2 linked regions of the Sus scrofa genome follow. The protein of the gene in region 2 purifies or fractionates together with the protein of the main gene of each other region. This does not show direct contact. Links are inferred from orthologs where the notes say so. Each region holds a gene or a part of one and is shown on either strand. Other genes may lie near its edges.

Region 1 (3,806 bases), about 47 Mb from region 2:
ACCAGGATGGTAACAGCAAAGATGGAGAAAGGTAGCGGATTCAGGGTATAAACTGGAAAGTGACTAAGAGTTTTCTGATGGAGTGGATGGAACTAGTGTAGCAGGGCAGAGGGAGCAATGAAAAGGGAAAAATTAAGGGGGGCTCCAAGGTTGGGACTTGTTCAAACCTTTTGAGTTGAGTGTGGCTGGCGGAGGCTCTAGCTTTAGGGAGAGGGAGTAAGAACTTATTTGGATGGAGAAATTTTGCCTAGGCTCAAGTCTTCCTAGATTCCTCATTTCCCTCATGTCATATCCAAGCAGTCCTCAAAGTCCAAAAACTTGAACTTCTACATACCTAATATCTCCTATCAAGTCTGTCCTTCCGATTTCAACTTTGTATCCATTGCCTCTTGTCCTAAGTCAAGCCTCTCTTGCCTTGACTTTGATAACAGCCTTTGCCAGCTATGAATAAACTAACAAAAAGCACTTCACAGACGTGTGTACCTCCCTCCCGCCAGCCGTCCTGGATGGCAAAGATGTCTTATTCATATTTATCTCCAGTGTCCAGTGCTGGGCTAGGCACAGCATAGGTCTTCGGATATTTGATGAACTGAAAAGAGGTTCTCCTCAAACAGGCTCTACCCTCCTGGAAGAGAAGAGCCCCATCTTGGCTTTTTTTTTTTTTTTTGTCTTTTTGCTATTTCTTAGGCCGCTCCCGCAGCATATGGAGATTCCCAAACTAGGGGTCGAATCAGAGCTGTAGCCACCGGCCTACACCAGAGCCACAGCAATGCAGGATCCGAGCCGCGTCTGCAACCTACACCACAGCTCACGGCAACGCCGGATCGGCAACCCACTGAGCAAGGGCAGGGACCGAACCCGCAACCTCATGGTTCCTAGTCGGATTCGTTAACCACTGCGCCACGACGGGAACTCCAGCCCCATCTTGGGATTCTGTGATTCCCCCACACAACTTAAAGCAGAACCAGACAGGAAATGTACGATCAAGTCCCAGAAACTTGGCCTTCCCAAGGGATATGTTTCTTTCTAATGTAGTTTCAAACTGCCCTGTTTGAGTCCCACTTTTACCCAGTAGTCAATAAATCATGTTGCACAAAAGATAACATGTATTATGACTTTTCCACTTTTCTTCCAAATCTAGGAATTTTATACTCTCATACTCTCACATCTTTGTTAAAGATGTCAAGAGATAATTCTCCATTTTACAAATAAGAAACTGAGGCACAAAATGAAATCCCTTAATTACTGTGTGATGGAGTTAGGAGCTTTGCCTTTCCCTGAGCCATAGCACAGTTCTGGAATTGGAAGCTATTCTCATCTCCTACCCCTGCAAAACTGCTGGTTGGTACCCCGGCGTTCCCGAGGTTCTCCCCCACAATTACAAGCTTCTTTGGGTAGCAGGGTGTGTTGCCACAGGTCAAAGACCATGTTCTCTCTCTCTTCTAATTACCACTCTCCTCAGTGCCTGGAGAAGACAGACTCCACTCCTTGGGCCCAGGAAAAAGAGAAGCACCTTGATCATTAGCCTGGGAGGTCAAGTAAGGCCAAGAGTCACAACCAGCAAGAAGGGAGAGAGAGATCTAAGTAGGCAAGAATAGTTTCAATGGGAAAAAAGAGAGAGGAGCCACCATTAAGAAAATTAGGACACTCCTTTTGAACGGTTTCCAGCCGGGGTGTACCTGGAGAAGAGGCAGCAGTGGCGGCAGCAGTGCTGTACCCCCAGAGTCATTTCTTCAAGGCACCCAGGCTCTTCAGGGCCTCCTGGGCCTGCGTCAGCTGCTGCTGTAGCCTCTGGCGGGTGCTCTCATTGGAGGCCCGCTTCAAAAGGCCCTGCATTTCTTCCACCACTGCTCGGTGGCCAGGGGCGTTGTGGAAGAGCCGCACCGCCCGGTCCCCGCAGGAGGCCAGAAACCGGCCAGTGATGTCAAAGGACAAGTCAGTGATACACTCTCCATGGACCTGCTCAAAGCGCTCCTCCTCCTCACCCCTCCGGGTACTGTACAGATGAATACTGGTGCCACAGGCCAAGGCCAAGACTTGGGAGTCAGGGGAGAGTGCCAGGCGACACGGCATGGTGCTCGCTTCTTGAAAGCGGCCTGTCCTCAGCAAGTAGGGGTCCTGTTGCTTCTTGTACTCCACATCTGTGTCCCACAGTTTCCAGGTACCATCCTTGGAGACAGAGGCCATCCTGCAGCACAGAAAGTCACAGCTGTAGCCCCAACACTCCCCGAAGGGAGGCCACTGGGACAGCACTAGGGAATCCACTCGTCAGGAAGCCAGCTCCACCACTCTAGCTATTTCCTGCTGAGAGCCAGGCACCCCACCTGCTTCAGAGCTGCTGCAGGGAATGGCACAAGGATCCTGGTTGTCAAGCGGGGCTGGGAGCCGTTGCTAAGAAATCAGAGAGGGTTCACTCACCTCCGGGAGTCATTGGAGAAAGCGAAGAAGTGGACAGCTGCAGAGTGGCCCTTCAGTTCAAAAGCTCGAACAACTTCCTGAAAGTCCCCTTTTTTCCCAAAGCAGACTTCCCAAACTTTTACATCTGGGGTGAAGCCACACGAGGCCACAAACCTGCCAAAAAACCCAGTTTCCTTTAAAACAATTTCAAGGGCAGCTTTTTCTGCAAAGCCACCAAAACTTTTTCCTGAAAAAGTTAATAATCTTGTATCTAAATAACACCATCTTTAAACTTTTATACGTGACCTCAGTTCCTCCTCATGGCCATGCTGTAAGATACACAGTACGCCCACCCAAACTCTTTAAAAACTATGGATGAAGAAAAAGACTAAGGTCTTGAATCTAGGTTTCCTGATTCCACAGGTTTTGCTCTTCCCCCCGCCCTTTTTTGGCCAAACCCACAGCCTAAGGAAGTTCCCAGGCCAGGGACAGAATCTGAATGGTATCTGCGACCTACGCACACACTGGATCCTTAACCCACTGCACTAGGCTGGGCTTGAGCCAGCAACGCCACAGAGACAAGCCGGATCACTAACCCACGGTGCCAAAGCAGGAATTCCTCCTCCTGCTCTATCCCTGGCCCCCAGCCCCAACCTCTGCCCATCCCTGAGGCCAAGGGCCCCCCTTCCTCACCTGCTACAGGGGGATATAGCCGCATACGTATTATTCATCTGGTTGGTGTTGATGGTGGACAGCACCTGACCTTTCAGATTCCAGATGAGGATGGTCGTGTCACTGGAAGCAGTCATGATGAACTTCCCTGAGGAGAGAGGGGCGGCACGTGCGCTGAGGTCAATGACCAGATCAACTGTCATTCTCCAAAGAGACACTTATGAAGGCCTCTGCGGCCCAAAGTTTCCATCCTCCCCTCCTGAGCCAAGGGTTGCCACAGATAAGGATCTGGCTGAGGAGGGCGGCTATTCTTACCTGTCTCCTCGGGGGACTTGCAGCGACTCCCAGGACTCCAGGGGAGCCCAGAGCCAGAGCCCCTTCTGTCACCCTGGGGCTGAGCAAAACTCTCGGCTACTATTCAGTGATTGAGTAAGTGTAACTGGGTCTCTTTCCTCTTGCCTTGGGCAAGCTCCATCCCCTGAGCGCCTCTCACCTGTGTCGGCAATGCCAATGTTGACAATGGAAGCTTTGTGCTTTTTAGGAAAGTCCTCTGGGGTGGCTGTGAAAGTATAACCTCCGTCCTCTCGCTTAGTCATCTTGAAGACACGGAGGGTGTCTCCATTCGCCAGCCAGACGATGAAAGCTCTAGAGACAGAGAGCAGACAAGTCTCTCACTTGTTTGGATACAGAGACCTGTGTGTGCCAGGCCTGTGCTAGGCGGACTCTGAGCAAAGTCA
Region 2 (4,327 bases):
CAGTAACTTCGAATGTAACCTTATTTGGAGAGAAGCCTTTTAAAGAGGAGATTAAGTTAAAATGAGGCAGTAATGAGGGTTATGATTTGGCCTACATGGAATCAGGAAAACCAGCGAAAAGTGTTTTATACAGGAAAGCCTGGTGTACTTGCTTAACTATAGCTGATAAAATGAAGACAAGAGAATTTGTCTTTTGAATTCAGCAGTGGTGGCCTCAGCAAGAGCAGTTTTGGTGGAGTTGTGGGCACAACAGCCTGACTTTAACATGTCTGACAAGGACAGAAGAGGAATGGAAGACAAAGAGTTAGAGATTTATTGTACTGAAGAACAATGGAACGTGCTACGAAGTGGAGTTTTTGCTCATTTTCCTTTTGGGAAGAAGAATTTAAGAGCATGTTTGTATGCCAGCATCTTCAAAAAAAAAAAAAAAAACTTCAGAATTGTGATGGGGCCATTGCCTCCTAGCTCTAGCCTCCCAACTAGTCTCTTCATCTTTGATGCTCTTCTTTTGAAAACTGCTGAGGAATTCATCTTTCTAAACCACAACCCTTATCTCTTCACTCATCTGCTCAAAAGTCTTCAAGGCGTCCTTAACTGCTGGATAAAAAGTTCCGAAGCTTTAGCTGAACATTCAAATCTTCTCCAGTTTGGCCTTTTGCGGTTTTATCTCTTGCTCAGGTACAGAGCAAGGCAGACCAGATCAGAATCTTGGACTAAAGTCATGGTTCTGTAAATAGCTTGCTGTGCATTTAGACAAATGACGTAAGTGCACCGGGGCCGGGCTCCTTCTTTACAATGAGGAAGGGATGTGTCCGGTAGACTAGATCACTGATCACTGTAGGTCACTGGCATCTCTTACAAGCCTTGTTTTCAGCGCTATCGCGAACACAAGCAGGATCCTCTCCCCAACTCGAGTCACCCCTTCTACTTCTAGAAACTACACGTCTCGTGCAGTCACTTATTTTTCTTGCTCTTCTTTTGCCTTTCTAAACAGATCAAGCTTAGCAGAGCCACAGCGTAACTCCTTGAAGGTCGGCCGCCTCCCCGCCACCAGGGACTCGCCTCCCACTCTTCCTTTCACTTGGGACCGTGCTCTCCACAGTCAGAATCCGCCACGTATTAAGTGCCGCTTCCAACCAATCAAGAAGTAGTTAGCTGGACTTTTGAGGGGCATCCGCTTCCACCAATGATCTTCAAGTCTTCTCTAGCGCCTTGCTGTGGGGGGGCGAGGCTAACCACCAAGCTAGCTAATCTGCTTCGGGGAAAGGTATTCTGGGAACTGGGGAACTCACCAATCAGATAAGAAGACTGCAGGGAGTGGCGTTTCTCATTGGTAACTGAGTCCGGAAGAAGGCCGAGCCTCGGGCTAAGGCAGTACAAGTTAATTGGTAGGCGCGATGTTGACAACCTCAGAAAACCCACCTTCTCCAACAGGACTAGCCTGGCTGCCCAGAGTGGCAGTGGCCGCAGCCAATTGGAGAGCAGATGCGCGGAAAGTGTGTTCAATGGGCGATGTCCGAGGGAGGCTGTCAGTCAGGTGGCGGTGGCGGAGGCCGGGCTAAGACGTGGCCGGGAGAACGCAGCTGGCGGTCCAGACCGTCCGGGCGGCGGCAGGGACCTTAGCGCTTCCTCGTCTTGGTCGGGGGCTCCGAGAGACAGCAGAAGCGGGCGTCGGGGCTGCATCTCCATGCCCGCGCGCAGAGCGGGCCGCTGATGGAGCGCGCCACCCGCCCGGGGTCGCTGGCGCGGGCGCTGTTACTGTTGCTGCTGCTACTGGGGCTCTCGACCGGAACGGTGGTCGCGCGGCGCGCCTCGGAGCTCCCGACACCGACCTCGAAGGCGGCGTTCGGCCTGGGGGCCGCGGCCGCTCCCACCTCGGCCGCGCGGGTGCCGGCTTCCGGCGCCGTGACTGCAGCCGAGGTGACAGTGGAGGACGCCGAGGCGCTACCGGCGGCCGCGGGCGAGCAGGAGCCACGGGATCCGGAACCCGACGACGATCCTGACCTTCGGCCGTTCGGCAGGTGAGGGGCACGGGCTGAGCGCCGGGACCGCAGACCCGGGGAGGCGACTTATTTATGCGCGTGCGCCGCGGAGGATTGGGGGGCCGGCTGTCCCCACTCCGCCGGTTCCTCTAGCTAGCTGAGGACAGCTGGTGTCCAGGGGGCGAGCGCGGGAATGCTTTCCCATCTCCTGGACCAGTGGCGGGCATCCCTCCGCTCCCCGGCACCCGATCCTTGCTCGCGGGAGCGAGCAGCATCCTGGAAGGCGCCTGGGGGATGCTCGGAGAAGGGAGCGCGAGGTGGGAAAAAAAACATCGTTTACCTCTTGCATTGTTTTCGAGCTATATTCATACTCCAAGAAACTAACAGCCTCTTTTTTTCTTTCGTGAATTACGTTATGTCTGTGCTTGGGTGACAGCTGTTTGGGGAAAGGACTTCACAAAGAGATTTCAACATTTCCGTTTTAAACACACCCTTGTACTGCCCACGGACCAGGGTTGAGGTCAGAATTTTTCTTAATTGGGATCTGCAGAACGCCTGCATCAGAACCACTTAGGGATGCTGGTTAACTACAGTTTTCTGTGTTCCATCCCAGATTTACTGAATTAGACATTCCCAGGATAAGAACCTGGAATCTGCAAATTTAATACACACTCCGGATAATTCTTGAATACCACTAACTAATGCTTAAGCGCTCTGGTCATGTTCATGAATTTTGACAATTCACATTCTGGAGGCACCACTTGAATGTTTATATATAGATGTTTTTGCACTGGCAGATGTTTGACAAACTTTCCATAGGTTTTGCTAATGAAATAGCTATCCAGGAAGACTGTTTTTGTTTTAAAGAAACTTCTGAAGCACTTGGTCAAAGTGAGTTAAGGTAAAATGAAGCAAGATGTGTCGTTTTTCTTAGACGCCACAACCACTGCAGCAGGTGCTTCTTGGCCCTGAAAAGGGCCCTCAATGCCCTGGGGATACAGAGGTTAGGCGGAGAGTCCCTCCCCCCCAGGGGAGTGTGCAGTCCAGCAGTGAGCATTAAATGAAGAGATCTGTAATGACATTACAGGGCAGAAGCCATACAAATTAAATGCCATCAGTGTCCGAAGGTATATGTGGTGTTCTATGGGTGGGGTACCTGGGTGAGGTAGGAGAGCAGATAAGAAGAGGTTGTGGCAGAATGAGTTGTTTGCTGAAAAGTGGGTAGAATTGTATTGGGCAGATAGTGAACTTGAGGAAACAGCAAGAAACTGGAAAGTATGTTTAGGGAACATGGGGGGTGTGTGTGTGTGTGTAAGATACAGACAGACATGCATGTAGAAGACAAGGCTATAAAACTAGGTTGGGGCCATGTTGTGTATATGCAGCCTTAGGCTTGCTGACATTGTCATCACCTGGGAACCCGTTAGGAATCCAGAATCAGGTACCAGGCAGACCCACTGAATGAGCATCTGTAGTTTAACAAGGTCAGCATGGATTCACCTTACAGTTTGAGAAGCATTGTGTAGAGGACAACAAATGCTAAATTTGAGGGAAGGGTGCCAAAGGAGACTGTTACAGCAGTGCAGTGCAGATGAGAGGTGTCCTGACAAGCGGATAAGGAACACAGCGGGTAAATTTGAGAGACTGGCAGAATCTTGGTTCTTGGTCAATTAATTGATTCCTCCTCCATTGGCACTGCCATCTGAAGGTGGCGGGGGTGGGGGTGGGGTGGCTAGAGAGGTGAGAGCACATGGGGAAACCTGGGGAGATTTAGGGGAGCAGGGAGTAAAAGGCAAGGGCTTCCGTGTCGGCATGGTGTCTCGGAGGCACTGGCAGGCCATCCAGAGGGAGAGGTTAGGTAGGAAAGGAGTGACTTCGGTTGGAGAGACATCAGGGTAAATGGCTGAAACAGGGGAAGAGAAGGCTGGTGATAAAAGCTGCCGGAAATGCCTTATGTTTCAGGGATGATGAGCCAGCAAAGGAGACAGAAAGACAGCTGTCTGGGTTGGAGGTGTGGGGTAAGGCCTGAGAAGATGAGGGATTTGGGATGAACACACATAAAGAATTTAAAGCCCTAGAGGGTTGGAGTTCCTGCTGTGGCGCAAGGGGATCAGTATCTTGAGCGCTGGGATGAGGGTTCTATCCCCCGCCCCGCAGTGGGGTTGAGGATCCGGTGTTGCCACAGCTGCCAGGCAGGTCGCATTAGGCCTTGGATCTGATCCCTGGCCCAAAAACTTGCATATATCCATATACCTCGGGGCAGCAAATAATAATAATGATAATAATAAAATAAAGCACTAGAGGGTTACTCAGATTGCCAGAGGTTCAGCCTCATTTTGTCAACC

What was found.
Region 1: the proteins of EIF2AK3 (region 2) and TBL2 purify together in Homo sapiens (affinity purification with western blotting; 3 studies listed by BioGRID). This does not show direct contact. The link is inferred for Sus scrofa from reciprocal best matches to the Homo sapiens genes EIF2AK3 and TBL2.

The regions. Positions count from the first base shown.
Region 1 is NC_010445.4:10,885,682-10,889,487, forward strand, and holds part of TBL2 (transducin beta-like protein 2), read right to left. Parts: intron 3,715-3,806; coding exon 3,563-3,714; intron 3,218-3,562; coding exon 3,091-3,217; intron 2,572-3,090; coding exon 2,419-2,571; intron 2,189-2,418; coding exon 1,726-2,188; coding exon of another isoform or gene 1,680-1,725; exon of another isoform or gene 1-1,679.
Region 2 is NC_010445.4:57,422,502-57,426,828, forward strand, and holds the start of EIF2AK3 (eukaryotic translation initiation factor 2-alpha kinase 3), read left to right. Parts: upstream 1-1,392; 5' UTR 1,393-1,713; coding exon 1,714-2,021; intron 2,022-4,327. UniProt on the Homo sapiens protein: Metabolic-stress sensing protein kinase that phosphorylates the alpha subunit of eukaryotic translation initiation factor 2 (EIF2S1/eIF-2-alpha) in response to various stress, such as unfolded protein response (UPR).